Arabidopsis thaliana: one gene and its partners. The protein of the gene in region 2 interacts with the protein of the main gene of each other region in a biochemical or structural test. Each region holds a gene or a part of one and is shown on either strand. Other genes may lie near its edges.

What was found.
Region 1: the proteins of RGA1 (region 2) and GL3 form a complex in vitro, tested with the Arabidopsis thaliana proteins (one study listed by BioGRID).
Region 3: the proteins of RGA1 (region 2) and NF-YB2 form a complex in vitro, tested with the Arabidopsis thaliana proteins (one study listed by BioGRID).

Annotation. Positions count from the first base shown.
Region 1 is NC_003076.8:16,526,623-16,534,304, forward strand, and holds GL3 (basic helix-loop-helix (bHLH) DNA-binding superfamily protein), read left to right. Parts: upstream 1-2,467; 5' UTR 2,468-2,675; coding exon of another isoform or gene 2,676-2,677; 5' UTR 2,678-2,810; coding exon 2,811-2,956; intron 2,957-3,297; coding exon 3,298-3,579; intron 3,580-4,158; coding exon 4,159-4,255; intron 4,256-4,352; coding exon 4,353-4,424; intron 4,425-4,744; coding exon 4,745-5,578; intron 5,579-5,662; coding exon 5,663-6,097; intron 6,098-6,172; coding exon 6,173-6,244; 3' UTR 6,245-6,665; downstream 6,666-7,682. UniProt on the Arabidopsis thaliana protein: Transcription activator, when associated with MYB75/PAP1, MYB90/PAP2 or TT2. Involved in epidermal cell fate specification.
Region 2 is NC_003071.7:254,090-259,764, forward strand, and holds RGA1 (GRAS family transcription factor family protein), read right to left. Parts: upstream 3,480-5,675; 5' UTR 3,256-3,479; coding exon 1,492-3,255; 3' UTR 1,158-1,491; downstream 1-1,157. UniProt on the Arabidopsis thaliana protein: Probable transcriptional regulator that acts as a repressor of the gibberellin (GA) signaling pathway. Probably acts by participating in large multiprotein complexes that repress transcription of GA-inducible genes.
Region 3 is NC_003076.8:19,306,806-19,311,289, reverse strand, and holds NF-YB2 (nuclear factor Y, subunit B2), read right to left. Parts: upstream 2,064-4,484; 5' UTR 1,877-2,063; coding exon 1,304-1,876; 3' UTR 1,018-1,303; downstream 1-1,017. Other genes in the region: NUDT2 (nudix hydrolase homolog 2), read left to right, coding at 96-173, 252-302, 398-432, 505-613, 711-899; AT5G47635 (Pollen Ole e 1 allergen and extensin family protein), read left to right, coding at 3,441-3,642, 3,717-4,009; mtACP3 (mitochondrial acyl carrier protein 3), read right to left, coding at 4,405-4,484. UniProt on the Arabidopsis thaliana protein: Component of the NF-Y/HAP transcription factor complex. The NF-Y complex stimulates the transcription of various genes by recognizing and binding to a CCAAT motif in promoters.

The DNA.
Region 1 (7,682 bases), on a different chromosome or scaffold from region 2:
TTAATATTAGTAGAGTCTAAGTAAAATAATGCTATAAAAAGCAGGATAAAACAAAAGAGGATACGGGCTTAATGATATAATTAAATAAACGAGGTCTAATGTTCATTATGATTCTCATGGAGACGCAACAAGTAATAACGACAATTTTGGGAAATGACAAAATTATATAGTTGATGGCTTAATTAACGTCGCCAGTGACAATATTGACTCTTGGTCTCTTCTTTATTAATTGTTTCATTAAGCCAAATTAAGTATAATTTTTTGAATTCCCATCCAAATTCATGTGATTCTCTACCTCCTAAGATCCACCATGATCTTTGAATCAAATCATAAACAAGAAGCAAATCAAAAGCCCATTATTTACATAGTTTGACTTCCATTGACTTAGATGAACTATCTTACCTTTTTCTGAACCTTGAGAATTGAGATACATATAAGATGATGATAATATGCCTTATGAGGTGGAAAGTGGAACCACTTATGTTTCATTGTTAAACCAATATAGTATATCCAAATTAAAATATTATTTTCTCAGCTATATCCATATGTCATTTAGTATATGGGAAAACATACAGTTTTTTAACATAGAAGAGAGGATACAAACCAGTTAATAGCAAAATAGTGTCATGCTTCCATTGTCCTATACATAGCATTGAATCTCTCACATCTTCTCGTACATGCCCAAAAGTTTATGATTTTAATGGCCGTGTTTACAACATTATTTCTTCTGTGCCGTCTATGTCAAGAAAATAACAACATAGTATATACCCTATATATATATATATATTACTTCTTTTTTTAATTAGTTCCGTTTATATATATGAAAGAGGTCTTACAGAGGAGCCTTAATGCTCAGATACAATCAAATAAGATAAACATATAGAGACGAGTGTTCTAGTAAGATCAGTAAAGATGTGGTCTAATTTTGTTGGAAATTAGCAAACCATAGCGAAAGATAGGAGTCAGGAGATGGAGTTGTTGAAGTGAAGATGACGTCTTGATCCAAACCAGCAAGGCTTCATCGGATTAGGAGTTGAATTCCCCATTTAACTTGAGTTAGTATTCTGATTGAAAATAACAATATATATTAGTGTTACATAAGTTTGGATCAGACAAATTTTATATTGTTGTATCGAAAGCTATACCAAATTTCCTAAATATTACCCTCAAACATCAACACATCCGATTAATTTACCGAAACCTCCGATCAACAGCACTACGAATGTTTAGACTTTGATCTTGTAGGGGACCGAACGTGTATATATATTTTAATGTTTTCTGACGTCAACGTCTCTCTCTTTTCTAGATGTCAGAAAAGGAAAATAATAAGTACTAATGGTCCATTTAGCAGGGTTTTATTTAAAGTTATATTTTAAATAGTTGCATAAATACTTCGAAAATATAGGTTTAATAGTATAAGAGAATTTTGAAATATAATAATATTGTAAGTATATGACTATAGGGAGAATCAACGTCGAAAATGTCCATAACATTTTTATTCATTTTAAAGATGTGATTGCAAAAATTAAGATTGTGTCTGTACGTATTGGGGGAACTCCTCGAGGCCAAACATTAATTTCGTGTCTTTCTTTGTGTTTCCCAATTTTAGTAAAGACTGTTCTTATATTATCTCTTTCCTCCTCAATTTATCTATTATTGTGTTTGTGACTATAATTTAGATTCATAGCGATTAGCTTCGTTTTGACACCAAGTAAAAAGCTGATGATTTTACTATTATTATATATGTTAATCATATACTCTGATTTGAGACATTATACTTTTGGTCGTTTTGTGTACTTTTGGAAAATTCATAAAACGATGTTACTCACCGACAATAATATATTTCGATCACTCAAATAGTAATAAGACTGATTAGATTATACAAAATGAAAGAAATCATACGATGCTGGTTAGATTGGACTTGGATCACATGCTAATGGTATTCTAGTCAACATTGCTTCAAAGATCTAATAGTCAAGGAAACAAATTTTTTTTTTTTGGTATCAGTGGGGATATTAAGTGAGGGAAACATTTTTTTTCAAGAATAGATGGGTGAAAAGTTCAGCCTTGACGTGATAACATTTTAACTTTAAAATCAGTGTTGGAAGAGACACACAATGATTCAATATTCCCAAAAAAAAGAGATCTCTAGAACCACAAAGAGACTGAATAGAGAATTTATTGAAGACAAGACCACAACAATGGACATTGTAGTTCATTGTCTTAAAAAAAGGTTGTTCTTCCCAAATGAGGAACTAATCAATCAACTTCAAGATAAAAAGAGGAACAATCAATCAACATCAGCGTTTTGCTTTTTTCCTCTACTTTTGTATCCTTTTTTTTTCTCATAAATCATTAAAAAATTATAAGTACTTTTTATTTTCGTCATAAATGTCTTGTGTTTTGTTCTGTACACAACAAAGATGATATCGTCATATTCAAAGAAAAAAAGGATTCGTAGACAGTTCTTCTAGTCTTTCGAGTTCAAGCTCAAACAACAACAAAATTAATATTCAAAACAACATTAATAAAAAAAAAGTATGGAGTGACCAAAGAAAAAAAAAACTCTCAAACATTTCTCTGTTTGTTCCGGCGAAAACGGCAACTGTTTCATCAAATGACAAACACAAAAACCTTAACATCTAGTTTGTATCCTCTCTGATACTTCAAAAAAAATGTAAAGAGTTACAAGTTTCCCTTTTTCTTTCTTTTTTAGGCTATAAATTTAACATAGTATCTTATTTCTTTCTAAATCAGGACAAAAAGTTTGATTTTTTTCTTTTCTTTTCTTTTTCCCTGTGTGTGGTTTCATGGGATATAGGGATGAAGAAACAATGGCTACCGGACAAAACAGAACAACTGTGCCAGAGAATCTGAAGAAACACCTCGCAGTTTCAGTTCGAAACATTCAATGGAGTTATGGTATCTTTTGGTCTGTCTCTGCTTCTCAGTCTGGGTAAGTTTCTTAAATCATATTCATTGAACACTAGATATTGGAGATTTTGAAAGATATTGATGAAGTAAATTTCTTGATTTTAATTGGAAAATTAGATAAAACTTATGTGTTCACTTCAAATCAAAACTAGTGTTTAGTTCTACAACTCAAGACAAGGTTCTCTAGGTTTTTCTTGATTCCATTGATTTTTTCTTATAAACTCATATAAGGTTTCTTGATCTTCTTTAAAAGTTCAATTTTTTTTCTCTTCTTCTTGAAGTTCTTGATTAGTTCAAGAAAATGTTTTGTTTGTTTTCTTTATTCGATTTGATATTTGTTTTTGTTTTTCTATATATAAAAAGAGTTTTAGAATGGGGAGATGGATACTATAATGGAGATATCAAAACGAGGAAGACGATTCAAGCTTCGGAGATCAAAGCTGATCAGCTTGGTCTACGGAGGAGCGAGCAGCTTAGCGAGCTTTACGAGTCTCTCTCCGTCGCTGAATCTTCTTCTTCAGGCGTTGCTGCCGGATCTCAAGTCACCAGACGAGCTTCCGCCGCCGCACTTTCACCGGAAGATCTCGCCGACACCGAGTGGTACTATTTGGTTTGTATGTCTTTCGTCTTCAACATTGGTGAAGGGTAATTCCGTCTTTTCCTCTATCAGCATTGACATTTATTATGTGTCATGATCGTGTTGATCTTTGCCAGTTTTAAACAACGTGCCAAAATATACTTTTAATACTAGTAGGTCCAAGGATTTCGACTTTTATGGTTCAGTTTAGGTTTGTTAGATTTCAGGGTTCTGCAGGAAAAAAGTATGAGCTAGAACCAATTTTTTAGTTTCAGTTTGGTTTCAAAATTTAATGTCCGGATTTGGTCGGTTTCAGATTACAAAAGAAAAAGTTAAAACATAATTAATTTTAAATAATAATGTGTATATATATGCATTAGTATGTTTAACTCTATTCTACATCTAATAAATTTTATTAATTCGGTTTGGTTGCAGTATATTTGTGTTCGATTCGAGTTTAGTTCGGTTTATTTATCATCACAAAAGTTTGTTTCTGTCCGGATTAATTAAAAAATTCGTTTCATTTTGGTCTTTATGAACACGGCTAATTAACTTTCAATAATTATGAATATGTTAGGAAGAAAAAATGTGGAAAAATTAAGCTTAGAATGCATTGCTGCTTTCTAAATGAACCTGTCTTTTTGCAGAATGCCTGGACGGACGTTTGCAAACGGTGAACCGATATGGTTGTGCAACGCTCATACGGCGGATAGTAAAGTGTTTAGCCGTTCTCTTCTAGCAAAAGTAAGTTGTAGTATTGATGTAGTTGCTATGTAACACTTTTTTGCGATTTGAAAACACTAAAATCGTTCGTTTTTGTTTGCGTTTTGTGGTGGTTTAGAGTGCTGCGGTTAAGACAGTGGTTTGCTTCCCGTTCCTTGGAGGAGTCGTTGAGATTGGTACCACAGAACATGTAAGCCAATATTTGTGTTTTCTGCTTCCAATGTTTTAGAATAATTATTATGAAAATCCTTTATTAAGAAAAAAAGAATAATTATAAAATTACCACAATGTATTCTAACATTTCAATTTGACCCTTCAATCTGTCGAATAACGGTATAGACACCAAGAACACACAAACTAATATTTTAGTAGTCTCGATTTTTAAAGATTTCCACGGTTTGGTTATGACAAAACGCGAAAATACGGCTTTTGTACTTTTTACTAGCTCGTTGGTATAGTTATAATTGAAAACTTTTTCAAGGCTTTTTCTTGGTGTGTTTCGTCTCGTAGATTACGGAAGACATGAATGTAATACAATGCGTGAAGACATCATTCCTCGAAGCCCCTGATCCGTACGCTACAATATTACCAGCAAGATCCGATTATCACATCGACAACGTTCTTGATCCGCAACAGATTCTAGGCGACGAGATTTACGCGCCTATGTTCAGTACGGAGCCTTTTCCAACAGCTTCTCCGAGCAGAACTACCAACGGTTTCGATCAAGAACATGAACAAGTAGCAGATGATCATGATTCTTTCATGACCGAAAGAATCACTGGAGGAGCTTCTCAGGTGCAAAGCTGGCAGCTCATGGACGACGAGCTTAGTAACTGCGTTCACCAGTCGCTAAATTCCAGCGATTGCGTCTCTCAAACGTTTGTTGAAGGGGCGGCTGGACGGGTTGCTTACGGTGCAAGAAAGAGTAGAGTTCAAAGACTAGGGCAAATTCAAGAGCAACAGAGAAATGTGAAGACATTGTCATTTGATCCAAGAAACGACGACGTTCATTACCAAAGTGTGATCTCAACGATTTTTAAGACCAACCATCAGTTAATTCTCGGACCGCAGTTTCGAAACTGCGATAAACAGTCAAGCTTCACTAGGTGGAAGAAATCATCGTCATCATCATCAGGAACCGCCACGGTCACGGCACCATCACAAGGAATGTTAAAGAAAATTATTTTCGATGTTCCGCGAGTGCACCAGAAAGAGAAGTTAATGTTGGACTCACCAGAAGCCAGAGATGAAACTGGGAACCATGCGGTTTTAGAGAAGAAGCGCCGCGAGAAATTGAACGAACGGTTCATGACCTTGAGAAAAATCATTCCGTCAATCAACAAGGTATATTTATATAATCGATTCTTCAAAATTTCAAATCCATATATATCGCGAGGTAACTAATCTTATGTTTAACATTTTCGATAGATCGATAAAGTATCGATTCTTGACGATACGATAGAGTATCTTCAAGAACTCGAGAGACGGGTTCAAGAACTAGAATCTTGCAGAGAATCAACCGATACAGAGACTCGTGGGACGATGACGATGAAGAGGAAGAAACCATGCGACGCAGGAGAAAGAACATCAGCTAATTGCGCAAATAATGAAACAGGAAATGGGAAGAAGGTGTCGGTTAACAATGTTGGTGAAGCCGAGCCAGCAGATACCGGTTTTACTGGTTTAACCGATAATTTAAGGATCGGTTCGTTTGGTAATGAGGTGGTTATTGAGCTTAGATGTGCTTGGAGAGAAGGAGTATTGCTTGAGATAATGGATGTGATTAGTGATCTCCATTTGGATTCTCATTCGGTTCAATCCTCGACCGGAGACGGTTTGCTCTGCTTAACCGTCAATTGCAAGGTATACTCTCTAACCTACTTTTGGCTTAACCAGGATTTGGTTAACCTAGATTGACATGAAATGTGTTGGTTTCAGCACAAGGGGTCAAAAATAGCGACACCAGGAATGATCAAAGAAGCACTTCAAAGGGTTGCATGGATCTGTTGAAGACTACTTAGTTAAAATTGACAGCAAAGAAAAAACATTCCCGGTTTGGTTTCTATTCTTTGGTTTTCTTCTAACCGGGTTTTAGGAATTAATGTTATGTTTATCATTTGTTTTTTGTTTTTTTTTTGTGTCTTTTTTTCCGTTGCTTAACGTAGGTGAAGAGGAACATACACTATGCGTATTTTGTTTGAGGTAGATTATTTTAAGGGTATTAGTAATAGTAATAGCCAGTTTAGATGATTTTGTGTTCTTTTGTTGTTTAAGCACAAGGTTGATGTGAAATTACGGGGAAAAAAACATTAATGTGTAAATGAAAATTAGTGGTCAAAAAGCTTCACACGAAACGGGAGAAGATTCTGCATTTTGGCATTTTCATGGATAACAAAGAGGTAAAGTTTATGATAAGAAATCCAGATTAATTTCCTTAACTGGGTCATAAATGATTTCATTGAAATAACATAGTGAAAATCAACAAAAATAAATGCTGTAATATCTTATTTTTACAAATTTAGAGGTGTTGACCAAATTACTTTCTAATTTGCTTTATGTAATTTTACCTATCTAGTCATGTCTTATTATGTTTTACTTACCAACTCATGTTATTCTTTTCGTTTAATATCAAGGATATTTCAAACCCAAACTGAAAATAATCTTCATATATTAATGGAAAACCAGAGTACTCTTATCTTATCATTTAAAATCTTTGTGTTGACAAAAAAATCTTAAACAATAGTATAAAAACATGAATCTTATTCCTTTAAATTCTAAGGTGAATTCTAATTTACTTTCTAATTTGTGTAAAAATATAAAATATAGAAAAATGGGTAAACTTGATTATCAAGAAAAAGATCCAAATTGGAAAGCTAAAATATTGTTATTTAGAAGGTAGAACCAAAATTAATGACTAAAAATATTTTTCTTTGAATAAAATATACCTCATATGGAAAATATTTTTTCAGACAAAAACATAACTCCTTTCCTTTTTAACAGCAAAACCGAAAACATAAATTCAAAGATACATGTCGATTTTACACACAAAGTGTGCGATCAGACAAGACTCAAGGGAGAGATCGAGAATGGTGAAGATGGCCTGAAAATTCTTCTCTCCGGTAAGAACTTGCATTTACATGTTTTTATATATATCTCGGATATTTTTCTTAACTATGTGTGTACTTCTTAGTTCTCGAAAATGTAGTTTACAATAGTTTCTCTTTTGAATTAAGTCGAGATAATCGCAATACTACTCGGGTTTTACTAGATGCATTCTCTATTTACCTGTGTTACAGAGATGAATCCTTAATCTTGTATTTATGGATATGCTTTAAACAGTTTTCCAATTAATATTGGTTTATATTTGTTATCTCCTCGCCTAATATTCCATTGTTTAGAAGAACACTCCCATCTTTTTACAAAGTTGATGATGTGCTGATCCGTAATC
Region 2 (5,675 bases):
CATGTGGGACCTTTCTTTTGTATCTAATTAAAATCGCATTTTTATAAGATAAGATTAATAATTCTACATCAGTGATTAAAAAATGTGGATTATTATTCATTATTAATCAAGATTAGTGGAAGCTCCTTTGGTCCAATAATTGACGAAGGGTTCATTAATGTTTCTATACCAAAAAGTAGAGGTTTGAATTTCAATTACTGCGATATATTAGCAAATTTGCAGATTAATGGAGGTAAGTATGCAAGAGATCTACAACAAAATACAATTCTAACCATTCGTTAAGATTTTACACAGAGAAGATATTGAAAGTGTCCATCAATCACATGAAGAAGAAGAATAATGTGTGGTCTATCGTGAATCTAATAAAGATTAGAAAAAATTGTTCGTAGTAAAATCGTCTATGTAACAATTTTCATAATTTATAATAAATAATAAATGTATATGGCAAAAAAAAACTGAGATTATTGATTTAAATTTTTGATAGGTCGGTTCAATACTTTTAAGACTGAGCTTCTACTAATTTCTGGAACCTTAATTATAATAATCCTCTAACTAAAAATAATTCGAGCTCATTTAAAATACTTAGGAGATTATCTTATTTCAAAAGTTGTTCCGGCGGTTTATAAAAATATCATGTACTAATTACACATAAACTATACATCTAGACCAGGTTATAGACTTTAATATATATCTCCTATGAGAGTCTACGAGACTACACGAGGGTTTGTTTAACATTAATAAGTTACATACGCCTGCAATTAGAAAATACTAAACATTTCTAAAGATTAAAACATCGGATCTAAAAGTTGATGTGTCGATCTAAATAAATATTTACTATATTCTTCACCACAATTCATAAACTTTGGCTTTTCGATATGATTACAGCCAATGAGAAATTAGTTAAAAATATGAGCCAAAATTGTTAAATCACACTCCACTAAAAAAAGTATCAAAACCTTTTTCATGAAATTATCGCTTAGTAGTTAGTACTCTTTGTAACAATAGTTATAACTCACTATCATCCCTTTCTCTTTCTCAACTTTACTTTATAAAATAAACCTCATTAACAAATTAGAAATATCTAAATTCACTAATTATTAGTTTATTACTGTTCATACTTAGTGAAGTCGATAAAAAAAAATTATTTTGCCAAGAAATTGAGATTAATAAAACTTGATATTAATTTTTTTTTAAATGAGATTAAAACATAGTTTTAGTTTAAAATTCATAAAGATAATTTATTAATAAATACAAACTCAGCCTATTAAAAATTGATCCCAAAAAGGCATAAATTAAAAATGACCTACCAAAACGATATATATAAGAATTTTAAACAAGTGAACGAAAATAAATAAAATAAACAAAAGGCAAAACGGTTCGATTCAGTTCGGTTTAGGTCTTGGTCCGAACATATGTCATCACCGGTCCACTGATCTCAATCTCAAATTCACTCGACTCGACTCCACCACCGTCGTATGCTTCGAGTCAAACTCAGTACGCCGCCGTCGAGAGTTTCCAAGCGGAGGTGGTAATGAGTGGACGAGTGTGCCAACCCAACATCAAACATCCATTACTCTCCTCCACACGATAACCTTGGCCACTATTAAACACAGACAAAAGCATACTCGCTTGCTTAAACGCGTTAGACCCAAGATGTGCCGGCGCTAAACCGGACGAACCAAACCGGTTTCCCCATTGACTCAACGTTTCGTGTCTCTCGACTCTGTCAGGACCTTCACAAGCCACCAGATTACAAATCTGTTTCCCTAAGTAAACTTCAGACATGACTTTGTCTTGACTATTCGGAACTCCTTCCAACGAATCAAACAGAGTCGAATAATAATGTAACGATTCAGTAAACCGGTCTAAGAAAACCGGTCCGTTATGGTTCGATTCTTGCTCAACCACCGTGAAAATCACCGGTTTAATCTGTTTCACAACGCCGAGAACTTTCTCTATCCCACCGGGACGACCTAAGAGCTTATGTAGCTCAAAAACAGAGTTCACCGCAACAGCTTCCGTATCGCTCGGTCTAAGCTCAAGCATCGAAGCATCGAGATCGGCTAAGCTGTTAGCAACGAATCCACGGTATTCGAATTCTACGTGAATCGCCTCCGCAAGCTGAGCTAATTTACAACCAACTTCATGAAGATGATCAGAATTATCCGGCGCCGGTGGACCAATTCCGGTTAACCGGAAAGTTGGAGGACCTCCTTCTCGAAGCGCAAGAGCTTGCATAAGTGCAGGCCATTGAAGACCTTGGTTCATCGAGAAATCAATGACGTGTACTCTCTTCTTACCTTCAAAAGCTTCGAGAATCGCTTGGTTCGCCGTGAAGTGAGCGAATTTAAGATAAGGACAAGTCTCGTAAAAGTGCATCTGAAGAGTATCGGAGAGACAATGATCGATCTGATTCTGCGGCGGAGAGAGACGGTAGATCCGCCGCGCTAAAGCTTCGGCGAAGTAAGTAGCCACTTTTCTCATAGCTCCGGCTTGAGACACAGCTAAGCATCCGATTTGCTTCACAAGAGCTTCCGCTAGAGTCAAATTGTTCTGCTGGATTGCTTCTGCACAAGCCATAAGCGCGTGGACTAAACGAACACCGTTCTCTTGCGAGTCAACCAGGATAACAGAACGAGTTGACTCACCCGCCGCCGTCGTTGTCGTGGTGGTTGTCGTCACCGTCGTTCCTATGACTCCACCAATCTGCGTACCCGTCGAAGTCGATGTAACCATAGAATCAGGACTCGAGCATGATTTCAAACGCTTGTTCTGATTATTCGACGAAGACGAAGAATCAATCGCCGGAAACTGATAAATCGCGTTTCCGGGAATGACTTTAAGGTCATAATCCGAAGCCGGAAAACCACAAATCTCCGGCGAAGGAAGAACCGGATCTAAACCGTTAGAACTCGCCGGAAGAGGAGGAGGATTAAGCTCAGAGAGCATATTATCAAGCCAAGAATAAAGCTCCGACGGATTATAATGAACAGTATCCGTCGCGAGATGAGATAAACCATCTTCTTGAACATTACTCATCATCGTCTCTAATTGTTCGAGTTTCAAAGCAACCTCCGCCATCTCCGATGACCTAACTTTGTAACCTAAAACAGCGAGAAGCTCGTCGTCCATGTTACCTCCACCGTCTTCTTCTTTTTTCACCATCATCATCTTATCTTTAGAGATTGATGATGATGAAGAAGAAGTCCCGTGGTTGGACAATCGACCTTGGAATTGGTGATGATCTCTCTTCATTTTTCAGCTATGAGTTTCGATTAGATTAGGTCTGATCTTGGATCTAGGGTTTTGCCTTTTTTTTAGTTTGTGTGTGTTTGGGGATGATGAAGGAAGAAGAAGAAGGAACATGTGACTTCTCTATGTGAAGAATCTTAAGAGCAAATGGGTTTGGGATTGGATTGCTTTTGTTTTTCACTGCTACTACCACTTCAATCATCATTCATACCAGAACTAATAATAATAATTTCTCAAAATAATAATAAAAAAATTTCTCAAAAAATATTTATTTTATTTACCAGAAAATATAAATTTATTAAAATAAAAAGATATTTATTCTGGATGAAAATTAAAAAAAGAAAAGAAAAAGAATGGTGGTGATGGGGCTCGACGACCAATGAATAATGTACCAGAAAGAGTAACATACATACACATCTAAAGTGATAAGGCTGTGAAATTACAACACACATTACTAATTTTATTTTTATTTTCATATACGTAAAAAAAAATAAAGTGTGTAAAAACATTTAGAATTTCTGTATATTTGAAGTGATATTTACATTCATTGTGATGTGTATTTTTTTGTTTTGATTTACAAGATCTGATGGAGTAATATAAAAAATTGTGGATCTACTGAATAGATATATTATGAGTTTGTTTTTTTAACTATATAATAATTTTAGTTTAATTGATGAAGAAAGTAATTACAAGTCTAAGAGAATCATTAAACTTTTGTCAAATCTATAAAATAGGAGATTTAGGGCTTTTTAGTTGATTCTTTTGATGGAAGAACTGAAGATGCTCTTTTTCAGAGGATAATTAAATTCAACTTAAAAAGCTGAACTCACTTCATGATAGCATGATACTGTTTTACTTCCCAGTTTCTTTATGGTAATAATAATTTAACCATATGTCTTGGATGTAAAAAAATAATGATATATAATCACATTTTGAATTGTAAGAGATTATTATTTTATTTTTTCCAACAAGTTGTTTGAAGCTCAGCCATCGAAAACATAAATCTAAAATTGCGTATGATCAGATAAAAGAATAGTAAATTTTGGTTTTAACAAAAGTACAGTACTAGTAATTTTACAGTAACTTTAAGTCCTACAGGTTCAGTTTATGTACAAAAAAAAATCTCTAAAAGGGATTCTATAATTGGGTATTGAAAAATCATCGGACCAATGTATTTTCAATTTTCGAGTTCTCTTTTATAGAAGTAACTTTCAAGTATTAAACGTTAATTAGGTCATATTTTTTCTTCTAATTTCCAAGATGCATATAATTTTAAAAGCTTTCATAATAATAATAAATATATATCGAGATTTCAGATGTTGTATCTTCGATCTTTTTAACTTGACAAAGTTAACTTAGGCTTATGCTAATCTACTGTTACTGTCAAAGTCTAAATAAAAAATATAACTAGCCACTTAAAACTTACGAAAACAACAAAAACTAAATAAAACACGAATGAAAACATTAAATTTAATGATATTTGATGACAATATTAAAGTTCCGACTATATAAAAAAATCATCAAGCAAACAAAACCTAATAGTGTAATATTACTAAGCATTCATAGCTCGAAATACAATTAATTAAAGGCAAAAAAAATGGTGTGACAAGAAAACCCGTTTTTAAGCATAACAGCCGGCGTCCGTCGACGTCAAATCATTCAAAGAGATTCCCGTTACATTGCTTAACGCCGTCATTAACGGCCTCTTTCTATCAACTGTATTAAAAAGAAAAGAATATATTCATTTGTATCCTTCAGGAAACTCAAACTGACAGCACGTGATGGATCCACGTGTTAATGGGTCCCACAATATAGCTTTCAATAACTATACGCGGTTGGAACTTTTGTGGTCTCTACTAAAATTCATGAGATTTGAACACGTGTCCTATTATTATTAGATCTAAAACGGTAGGGACCGAGTCTGCTTCCTTCATCTTGACGGCCGTTTTTACGGATCCGTTTTTTTTAATTTCATCTCTATCCATTTGTTACATGTTATATTGTCATGTTACGTCACTTTCTTTAACTATTTATCATTAAATTCACTTTTTTTTTTTTTTTTTTTTTGGGTTCATATTAATTTTGTTATTTCTTCCATGCAAAACCATGGTTTTGTTTCTGTACATAATATTTTTAAAAATGTTATATTTTAAGTCTTCTCCATTTTTTATAAACATATTTTTCAGTGATAACTCAAATATCCATAACTTTTCCACAATTTCTAGCAAACATCACTCCCCTATAAAAAGTCAATTACTAGTTACTCGTAGTCGTACACCTCGTAATATATAGTTTTCAAGGTGTCAAAATCGAATTTATATTTTTGTTTTTTTTTAAATTACGATATAGGTTTTCTTTGGCAAAAGTCGCACTTTCAGAATTGAAGGTTATGAACTAAAAACATTTTAGCAAAAATGCTATAC
Region 3 (4,484 bases), on a different chromosome or scaffold from region 2:
TTGATTACTGATGAGATGAGATTTTTAGTGTGTCTTTTTGGAACATCTCCAAGAATGGATCACATCTCTTTTCTTTTCTGTATTTGAATCCAAAGGTGCTGGTGGTTCAAGAGAAGACAGGGAGATTTCAAGGTCAAGGTATCTGGAAGTTCCCCACCGGAGTTGTGAATGAGGTGCTGGTTCTTATTAAAGCTCATTACATGGTTAGGTTCAGCTCTCTGATTCGCCTTTTTGTGTTTGTGTTGAGTCAGGGTGAAGACATTCATGATGGCTCAGTCAGAGAGGTGAAAGAAGAGACCGGAGTAAGGCTTCTTCATGCCTCAACTTTTCACTGTCCTCTTTACAGTTTACATGAGACCAAGAGCTAATCCCACTCTTCTGCATCGTATGTTTTCAGGTGGATACAGAATTCGACCAAATATTGGCCTTCAGGTAGCAACTCCAACTGCATAATCTTCTATATTGCAACATAACTGATTCTCGTCTGTTTTAAAATTCTGGCAGACAAACACACAAAGCGTTCTTTGGAAAGTCAGATTTGTTCTTCGTGTGCATGTTAAAGCCCCTTTCTTTGGAGATCAACGCACAGGAGTCAGAGATTGAGGCAGCTCAGGTAACAGTTTTTGCTCCTCACTTCAACGACTCTCCAGTCTCATCCACTAAAACACTCATAAACCTCTTCTCTTTCTGAAAATGGGAATTTGGTGCAGTGGATGCCTTGGGAGGAATACATAAATCAACCATTTGTACAAAATTATGAGCTATTGAGGTATATGACAGACATTTGCTCTGCTAAAACCAACGGAGACTACGAAGGCTTCACTCCTCTCCGCGTCTCTGCACCTGATCAACAAGGCAACTTGTACTACAACACCCGCGACTTACATTCGCGCAATTGACCTTCTTTCTCAACAAACAGAGCTTTCCTCACAGATTCTAACGAAGCTGGTTTCTTTGCTGCCTCTCTATGTAAGCATTTTGACACTTGAATCACTACATAACTCTCACCAAAACATAAAAGCATCCCAAATGAAAACATTTGCATTCAATACAATGGCTTTAGTTACATACAAGATTCAATGAAGCAGATTCGTTAGTGAATCCTATTGTTCAACAAGCACACTTGATCTTCTTTACACAGCCTCAAAATCTAAACCCTTAATGCACATCTGATTTTACATCACCAACACCAATGTTCGTTCTATCACATGATAGATACCTTATATGGGTCGTAAAAATAGGCATGTGTATACATGTATTTATGTATCTATATACAGAGAGAGATCCACTTCACCAATCTTTGTTAAGTCCTTGTCCTACCGGAGGCAGCTCCACCTCCACTGTCGCTACCGCCACCTGTGGCTCCATACATATGGTTCTGCTGGTGAAGAAACTGATGATGTTGGTGATACTGCATCCCACCACCACCACCGTAGAACCCACCGCCATCTCCGACAGCATCTCTCTGATGCTCTCCGACCTCACCACCAGTCTGTGGCCTCCCTAGTCCAGTCCTCTCCCCTTCGATCTCCCTAAACCTCTGCAAGTAAACTTTCAATGGCTCAACATAATCCTCAAAACCTAGAGTAGTCATAGCCCAGAGCAAATCGTCTCCGTTGATCGTCTTCCTCTTCTCCTTCTGACACTTATCAGATGCTTCTCCGGTGACGAAGCTGATGAACTCGGAGACACACTCCTGCATCGTCTCTTTGGCATCTTTAGAGATCTTGGCGTTGGCGGGCAAGGCCTTCTTCATGATCCGGCTGACGTTAGCGATCGGCAAGAACCTGTCTTGCTCTCTTGGAGACAAGGAGGACTGTCCGTTCTGGTTGTTCCCGTTTTGCCCTCCACCGGAATCCCTGTCGGAATCCCCCATTTCTGAAAATTACAAGGAATAAAAAAATAAACTTTACTCTTTTTTCAAATCATTTCCATCAATGATTCGAAATCGAATTCAATTGGTGGTTGACTTGAGTGGGAAGACTGAAGCGAGAAAATTTAGGGTTTTAGAAAGAGTAAAAAGAGCAGGTGTGAATTGTTAAGTGTCGGCTGGTATTGTACACAGTGGTGAAGGAGTCGCCGGAGCTTATATAAAGAGAGGACGCACGACTTCTGCTCACTTGACACGTGATCTTATATGAACCGTCCGTTTACTGATAAGATTCTGACAACTGGATACGTGCTCGACCGTCGGATTGGAATTGATCTTGTTTGAGAGATAGACAGCCCTTTAAGGCTTTGCCACGTGTTGTGGACAGTTAGTGGACCCGGCACACTTTTGTCACGAGCCGACGCGCATAAGAGGAGCGTGGTAAACACACAGAAGAGAGAAAGATAGCGCGTGGAAAACACGGAGAAGATAGGTGGGCGTTAGGGAGACAGAGGGTAACTGCCACTCAACGACCCTTCGGTCAATTTTTCACTTCTTTTTTTTTTTGTGTTACGAGCGAATTGGGTTGGATCATGAGGGTGTGGTCTGTGGTGGGGTTCATTGCCATCAAAACTGCATCGACCAATCAGATCAGACAGCTGTTTGGAAACAAAAAGCGTCCCAGTTTTGTCCACTTTTGACGGTCTCGATCTTCTCCTGTGGGTCCAACCATTGTCGCTTTTCTAAGCGTGTGATTAGTTAACATTAACAATAATCACCAGCTTCCAGCTGTATTAAGCTCTTAATGACATAGCTAATACTTGTCCCACCTGGAGAATCCTAATGGGCCGTTAAGATAATCAAACTGAATGGCCCATTAAAGGTGATGGACCTATTATCAATATCTAGGCTTCTTTTAAGCCCATACTTTTTTCAATGTAATGAGGACTTGAGAAACTGTGGTTTGGTCAAAACCCTGCTGACTCCCACCATCAACTAGATATTCTGAGCACGTAGACACGACCAAACCCACGATGTTGAAGCCGTTGTGTTCAAAGCTGAATGTGTGCGAGTATAGTTGAGGGTAGGCTTGAATCTTTTGGTTACTGCATGACTACTCTAACTGAATTGGCTTAATTAAATAAAGAAAAGGAGAAACGTCACACTAGATACAAAAACGTTGCACCAAATATTATTATTAAAATAATACTTATACAAGGAGTGAAAGAGTAGGCGAACCACTCAGTAATTGCTTCCAAGTGCCGTATCTCTCTTTCTCTTTCGCTCTCGGTTCATTGTTTCATTTGGAAGATTCAGCTCTAAATTTGACCCTAACAAGTCAGCCACGATTTTTAATATATTTAGAAAAGATACAACTGAAAAGAAAAAGGCTACTACAAGGTATAAAGAGAGACACTGCCGTACAGAGCTGTGTGACCTGAAGCCACCACGCAAAGGGTCTCTTCCTCTTCTTTAGCTTCCTTCTTCTTCTCTATATATTCATGCTATTTTCATTTCTTTAACAAAATACAAAGAAAAACAAACAAACCTCTTTTCTTTGTTTTTAACGATGGGAAGCTTCTTCATCATCCGTTGCTTCTTGTTACTCTCTTTCTTCTTGTTCACCGGAGCATTTGGGAATAATTTATGGACCAGAACGGAAATGGTGGAGATGGCTGGCTACGGTGAACAGAAACTCTCCTCTGTCGTGATCACCGGATCTCTTCTCTGCGACACTTCACGTCCTCACCTTCACTCCATCCCTATCCCAGGTATTTGTTTCTCTACCTTTTTTCTTCATGTTTCTTGTCTTCCGTCCGAATATATACTAACATGATCCTCGCAGGTGCCACCGTTGCCATCAAGTGCCACACTGGATCCAAAAGGAGGTCCAAATGGATTAAGGCTGTTACTGATGAATTGGGAGAGTTTGAAATCGATCTTCCCTCCCAACTCCATGCGATTCCACACCTTGAAAACACTTGTTTCATCAAGCCAGTATATGTGCCTAGGCCCTATAGATGCTATAACACCTCTACCAATATACACAAACCTATCAAACTTGTTTCCTCTACCAATGGTTTCCGTGTCTACACCTCAGGGAAAATCAGGTTACAGGGCCACAGTTCGAGATCATAGCAAGCTCGTTGAGACAACATTTCAACCAAAAGATTTGAACACAAACAGCTGATTCTTCAAGTTCCTTCATGTGAAAAGCATTTTTTTTGTTATGGTCCTCGTTTGCTTAGCTGGCGCTCCAGTCACAGAACCGAGTTAGAGTCTCTCTACATTGTGTTTCATGTTCCCAAAGTGTAAGAACAAACAACTGTAAGCATCATGTATATAAAGGCTCCCATGTTTTTGGTACAAAAGTAGTGTGATCACATTAGAATATATATCATATAAAATGTTTAGCAGCAAAAACCCAAATGATCATATTGGCTGAAGCAAAGACACACTGACACAGAGCATGTCTCTAAACTTGCATTAACTAAACATTGAAAACAAGAGAGACAGAAAGGCAGAGATACAACTCAGGACTCAGACGCTTTGGTAGGAGTTTCAGAGAGTATGTATGTTGCAACATCACCACAACAAGTAAGCTTATCAGCTT